Linked DNA regions of Nothobranchius furzeri. The protein of the gene in region 2 interacts with the protein of the main gene of each other region in a biochemical or structural test. Links are inferred from orthologs where the notes say so. Each region holds a gene or a part of one and is shown on either strand. Other genes may lie near its edges.

Region 1 (3,065 bases), on a different chromosome or scaffold from region 2:
AACTTTAACTTTACTTGCAAAGTTGAGGTAAATTTCAGTAGCCAAACCCAGGCCTGATTAGTGACAGTTGTGTAGATTTATGACATCACATCAACAGAACCTATCTGAAAACATGAATTAGTTAAAACATCTCAAAAAGCAACAAGTTAAGTCAAGTTTCAGAGAAGTCATACACTTGTTATTCCAATAAATCTGCTGTGGACTCTAGTATAAATAAATGCCTTTATTTAGTCGTCATCAGTGTAAGAGGAAGTGGAACTAAGAGTGGGGGGCAGGAAACAGCAGGATTTGGAGTCTTGTTAATATTCATGATATACGAACATCTCACCTCTGATTGGCTAACAGCAACACAACTGTCCTGTTGCCTTCGTTCCCCATTCTTTCACGAGTGAAATACTACAATGTTCAATCTCCACAAATAACACAAGCCTGAACGTGTTCCACCATGTTGTTGAGAAGCTTCCAGTTAGCTTCCACTAGCCGAGATGTTCTCTGCTCTCTCCTGGAGGCTAAATGAACAACAGACTTTGCAAGCAAAGGTGTGAGCTGGCTTTTTCTGACCCGCGCGTTTTTCCGGTCTATTTTCTTTCTGGAGCCAATGGAGGAAAAAGGAGTTGAAGACTATATTTTCATGTATTTTTATGCTCTGCATGCATGTGAAAAAAAGAACAAGTACTTCTCGTGAACATCACTTTTAATAAAATGTTATGAAACTAAACAACAAAAAACAAAGAACCCAGAACATCAAACGTACTGGAGGCCTCACTTAGGTAGGGTTAAGGTCAGAGGTCATGGCTCAATGAAAGAAACAGAAGGTGGCAAAAATGACTTCTCTAAGGTGAGAACCTCTGCTGATCAGATAGAAGACAAGATCCCCGAGACTTTTGGGGAAATATGCCGTGGACTGATGAGACACAAGTGGGACTATTTGATAAGTGTGTGTCCTGTTTCATCCGGTGTAAACTAACAGCATGTAAAAAAAAAAAAACATACTAACAGTCAAACATGGTGGTGGTAGTGTGATGGTCTGGGGCTGCTTTGCTACTTCAGGACCCTAGAAGACTTTCTGTAATTGATGGAACAACAAGTAGAAAATGGTGAGGGAGAGAATCTGGCCTGTCACCTTCAACAACCTGTTCACGCTGGAAAACCCTCCAGTGCGGATGAAATCAAACCATTCCGCAAAGAAAGGGTCAGAATTCCTCCATAGTGATGCAACCACAAACCCTTGTTTGTGATTGCTCCAATAAAAATTTCACGATCAATTTCTAAAACCTGAAGCGATTTCAGAGGCTCTTTTAGATTATTTTGGACATATTTTACCAACTGGAGAAAATAAAATAATTAAACTCCACATTAACTTAGGTGGCAAATTTATTAAAGTCCTGCCATTTAATTATGAATCACCATCATTACCAGAGGGAATAAATAATACATAAAACATCTTCCACGTAAACAAACATATACACCACACCCTCCCCCCATCCCACTCTGCTACGGTTCTTTTTTGAGGTGGTTTCCAGTACAAGAAAACAAACAAGACACATCTGAGAACACACAAATGCATAGTAGTCATTGGACCCCTAGGTACCGTTTGTTAAGACATCTACATTTTCTCCTAATTCCCGGTTCAAGAATGTACAAAGTTCTCATGCCCTGGTTCTTTCATACATGTACGTTCAACAAGGGGTTTGTATAAAAATAAAGTCTCCACAATGATATATATTTATATATATAGACATTTGGCAACAACCAGACATTTAAGACCTGAACATGCTGAGGGGGAAATAAAACACCTGCAGGATGAGATGTGAACAGAAAACAGTCCGAAAAATGAAAATGGTTTTGAAGTTGGTAAAAACAGCGTATAGTGGTGTGTTTTGTTATAGTTTATGTCTTGAATGGGGGGACATGTTCTTCATTGCCTTCATGAAGATGGCAAGTAATAAATGAATTGGATATTTCTGGGATTACAAAGCCACAGTTCTTTGAATCAATTTTCCATTTCTTGACGAACAGAAGACACAGAAAATAAAGCAAAGGAAATAGTCAAGTATCTTTGGACCAATCAAAACTGCCCATGGTCCACCTCATCTAACCAGGATGCAGGACTGGCAGGGAAATCTGGGTACCCACCGCTGCTGCCGGTGGATAGGTCGGAGCTGGGGCCGTTTGCCGCTCCCATAGAGCCTCTGACGCCGGGGTTGATGCCAGGCCCACCGCTCTGGGTCAGGATGGAGAGGCCAGAGTCGGGGTAAACAATGGTGGAAATGAGAGGCTGGTGCCTGGGGAGTGTCTGGAGTGACCCAGGAGACTGGGGGAGGCCGTAGGGGCTGCTGGACCGGATGTCGTGGAACTGGTCTTGGGAGGGAAGTACGCCATGTTCCAAAGGGAAGGAGCCATGGTTGTTGCCCCCTTGACGGCCCCCCATAGCAGGAGAGGACTCACTCAGGCTGCTGTAGATGCTGTTGTTATGGCCGAGCTCCGACATGGGGGGCTCATCTGCAGGACAGATGAAGAGATGTTAGTCAAATTGCCTCTATAAACAAAGTGATTTAAAGAGAGACCGGGCAGTTTTGGCTTACTTTTAGCACCCCCTAGTGTCCATTTGTAGAACCAACTGCAAAACCAATCTCCTCGCTATACGTTCGTCCTTTTAACACCTTAATTTAACAGCTGACATGTCTCCCCAGCCTTTCTTAGAGTCTACAGGGGTGATTAATCACCAAATGAAACAAAACAGCTGTGTTCATGATCTAAAACATGCAGGAAACGTGCTGGAACCAGACTGTAGCGCCAGGTATGACAGCTCCATTTTTTCTAAGTCCCAACAGAGCGGCCACCCGTCTGCAGGGGCTGGGTGGCCTTTCATTAACCCTGTAAAGGATAATTTTAGCACATACTGGCTCAAGAAAATGGTTTAAAAACATGAAAAATTTGCTAAGTCTCCCTTTCTGAAAATTTTCTTGTCCTGCAACAACATTTTTGATATTAAAGGAATCATTATTTCAAATGTTGGTCTGTTTAATATTTTAAATTATTTTGTTTTGAAGAGGTGCTATTTA
Region 2 (4,287 bases):
CACGTTTGGGTGTTTGTATTGAAATTTCTAGATTTTATAGAGTTTAAAAATGCCCCCATCAGGAGGCTCCTGACTGAGAAGGGAGGAGACGAGCAGAGCGCACAGAGGGTGAATATTATAATATATTAAAGAAATTTACAATACAGACAGGTCTGTTCATTGTTGACAAAGCTCTTTGTCTGTTAATGTCTGACTGATTCTGAAGAGTAATATTCACCCTCTGATGCAGATTATCACTCGTTCAGTGAGGAAGTAAGTGACGTTGCTGCTGCTCGCAGCAACAAGCGTCTGTGTGCTTCATGAGTATAAACATGCATCACACACACAATCCCAAGCTCATTTCACCATGTTCAGCTCATGGTGGGTGTAGAAAGGATGCTAAAATCACTGCTAACACTGACTGATGTAGCAGGTAGATGCGCTAAATGTGAAACCAAAAGAAAACGTGCGTCATGGTTGATATGAACAGCGATCGGAATAAAACAGCATTACTAAAAGGGGAAAACTTTACTGTTGAAATCAGAATGTACTATTTTTAAGAAGAAAAGAACAAATAGCCACATGAGGGTGGAGAAAGATGACTTTAAAACTGATGGCCAATTATGGTGATTGTTTTTCTTTCGTTCGATAACCAAAAATGCACTTTAGGGTCATTTTTGGGCCAAAAATTTTGGTGGCCGAAATTCAGTTGCATCCCTAATTTACATATAGAATGGAGCAAAGAAGTAGCCTTCAGAAACAAAACAAATTAATTTTTTATGGCAGATTTGGAGGGACAATTAATTTAGAAAAGTGTGGAATAAGAAAGCAAAAAAATAAAACACATTATTCCACAAGTCCACGACGTGTGTTTCTAATTTAAACAGTTTCTCACCTGGATTGCCTAAAAGGTTGTTATCTCTCATAAGACGATAGTCCTCATCACTGAGATTGTTGACAAACTGGTAGAAAGCTTCCTCTCTATCCAGGCGGTCCAGCTGCCTCCTGCGTTGTGACTCTGGCTGGTCACTGCCGCCTCGCTCAGCATTGTCAGACCCTTCCATTGATTTTGAAGGGAGGGTGGTCTACAGGGCGTTCTCAGAAGTTCAGATAGATCCAGATGCTACAACAAATTACAGGATATTAGGGCTGATCACTTATGGCAAAAATTATTATCATGATGAAATTAAAACTGAGGTCTTGATTATTTAACAATCTTCAATTAGCGTTGAGATCACAAATTTATTGAACATTACTTGCGGCTTTTAAACATTGTTGTTTTCAGGACTTTTGTTTTGAGACAAATTTCTCCAGTTGGGAGTCGAAGTGGTGTTGCAGGGTAGTGTGTACAGTAGTGTAATGAAACTTGTAAGTCATATAGATGAACTGTTATTTATCAGAAATGTTGCTTGGTTTTGCTAGGCACTTTTAAGAAAAAAAACAGTCATTAAGGTGGTCTGGAAAGTTGTTAGAAATGGCGACAATACTGCAAAGTTGGCAACACTGTAGTGGGAGGTGCGCTTGATTTGCAACACTGAGCAATGTTAGAGTAAACCATTAAGGAGGAGCAAATAATCGGCTCATTTTGTTTTAACGATCCTTGAAAACCCAGAAAGTAATCGACCAGCTCTGGATTATATATGAAAAAAATTCAAGCAAAAGCACATGAAAATGTTTTCTATAGCATCTTTATGCATCTATAGAATATGTATACAACATAATTATTAATGAAAAGTTAAGCAAAGTGTGAGAAACTATGGTAATGTAGTATTGTATTAAACTATCTTCAGAGCAGAAATCACTCCTGGTTATGTAAAAATCATGGTTCAGACCATTTGAAATCTAAATATCTGCCATGCATGTCAAGATGAGCCAATGATTGTTAAACTAAACATTTATTAAGTATTAAGGAATGCTCTTATGTTTTTCCCACTTTATCCTGAACTATGGTTTTAAAGTCTTGTCTTACAAATCTTTAAATTTGACTAGGAAGAGTTTTATAGTTTATATATAAAACAGTAAATTTATGAGTTCATTATTTGACTGTATGTCACAACGTCATGCCGTACCATACAGCACTCAGCACCGGTGCAGAACATGAAGATAATGTTAGCACAGCTCACGGTTACAAGAACACTGACATGCTCAGGTGGCCTTACAACAAAAACTGAAAAACAAGCTGAGTCACCTGATCTCTGACCGCAAACTGACATCTAGGTACAATAAACACGTATCAGCATCTGTTAATAAAAACTATCATTTGAGGATGTGTTGGATAAAAAGTCTTGTCGCGAATCAATATGTTGGTCAAAGTCGAGTTAAAAACAAAATGGCATCGTACGGTTTAGCTTACGTCTTCTAGCGGTCGTTTTTTTTTTCGTTTACATTCCTGATTTGTCCTGAATGAGGACAATAATGCCGCAACCTCGGTTACGTAAAAGATGATCGAATGTGTGTAAATGTCAAGAAGAGCTAACAAGAAGTGATTGAATCTGATTATCTGGATTTTTTGCTGAAAGCTAATGGCTAATAAATGCTATTTAACATACCCCAAAATAGCCGAGTAGTTAGCAATGGTCTCTACTGTTAACGGCCAGTAAACAAATAAATACCTTAGTGGCCGTTTTACTTCTTTTGTAAATATATTTGATTGTCTATATCAGAAGTATACTTTTTAGTCTGTTGTTAAATGGTGCTGCCGAACATCCATTAAGCTAATATTAGCATAACCGCAAGCTAACTTAGCATTCGACGTCAACCAGTGACGTTCAGCGTTCGCATCTAAACAGAGTGAACATCAAATGTACTATGTAAGAAAGTAAAGTTAACGACAACATATGTTTACTGTAACCAAACCACTTATACTTTACCTGCTCGGCGACGTAATATGCCGGGGTGAAACAGTTTTTTTTTAATTCTCAGCAACAAGGATCGAATTAACTAACTGCTACCTCAGGATTCCATTTTCTTTCTTGTGAGAGCTGTTATGATCTTCCGGAACTAGAGCTTTGAGACGATTTTACCCTCAGCTTAGTCTTCTAGGCTCACGCAGACCACTCACTAGCAGACATTTCAAATGTACGTCTAGCTCTGCTACCACAATAAAGACAAATGCGATGGTTAATTAATTAATTAGAGTATTATTGCATTTATTAAAACGTTTCCACTTATATAAAATCTAAAATTGTATGTAATGGCTCAAAACCTGTTGCCTTAAAGACGAAACACAGGGCACATTGATATTTGAATCAACATAGGAAAGCAAGAGCGACGGACGTTAGTTTCGAAGATGGGTGCTGCTTTCAGTTGTAGCGTCACAGTGTGGCCAGAACATATACTGTATGCAGGAATATGCAGAGGAACCGATTGATATTTGTCTGATTTAGCTTTTTAGACTTACCCAGATTAATGAAGCGACTTTTTTGCTGTCTGTATAAAATATTATTATGTCATCTTGTCTAGCCTAGGGTTAATCGTGTTGCTTTCTCTAGAGATGATAGAGAAATCTAAAAAAGAACAACTTGTTTTTTGACAGCTTATGACACAATGTGGTTCTAAATCTATGAAGACTTTACCCAAGTGTCATATTCGTGCATGGTGACTGTGAAGTCCTTTGTTATATAAATTGAAACATTGGTATTTTTAGAGCAATGCTATTATTATGGAAGCCCATTCCCGCCACTTTGATATAAAGTAATTGTAATAATGATTGTTGCATGGTGGGAATGGGCTTACATAATAATCTTGTATGTATGTGTGTGTATATATATATATATATATATATATATATATATATATATATATATATATATATATATATATATACATTTCTTGACATGTTTTAGTTTTTGGGGTAATGGATTTGATGCAAGAGGAATACTGTATATGTGAGCATGGAAGTAGAGAGGGATGTCCAGTGATTGGAAGACTGCAGGTTAGATCCTGGCTCTGACTACCTTGCCTGCTGGTGGTGATTGGAAGTACCAGTGGCACCAGTGTTCAGCAGGGTTTGCCTCTGTCAGTGCACCCCAGGGCAGCTGTGGCTACATTGTAGTTCATCCCCAACAGCGTGTGTGAGTGAAAGGGTGAATGACTGATTGTTTTGTGAAGCACCTTGGGGGGGTTGTAGAATCCTAAAGCCTAGTTTATGCTTCTGCGTCGGTGTGGCGACATGCAATGCCATTATCCATCCGTGCAAGGGGTCGCAAAGATGGACGGAGTCGAGCCCACTTTTTTTTCTTCGTTTATTTAATTCAAAATAAAAACAAATAAAACATATAAACAATAAGAAATACATAACAAAAAATC

Evidence for each region.
Region 1: the proteins of rlim (region 2) and lhx3 form a complex in vitro, tested with the Homo sapiens proteins (2 studies listed by BioGRID). The link is inferred for Nothobranchius furzeri from reciprocal best matches to the Homo sapiens genes RLIM and LHX3.

What each region holds. Positions count from the first base shown.
Region 1 is NC_091746.1:57,050,172-57,053,236, reverse strand, and holds the end of lhx3 (LIM/homeobox protein Lhx3), read right to left. Parts: intron 2,503-3,065; coding exon 2,069-2,502; 3' UTR 677-2,068; downstream 1-676. UniProt on the Homo sapiens protein: Transcription factor.
Region 2 is NC_091741.1:98,396,420-98,400,706, reverse strand, and holds the start of rlim (E3 ubiquitin-protein ligase RLIM), read right to left. Parts: upstream 2,982-4,287; 5' UTR 2,850-2,981; intron 1,103-2,849; 5' UTR 1,044-1,102; coding exon 875-1,043; intron 1-874. UniProt on the Homo sapiens protein: E3 ubiquitin-protein ligase.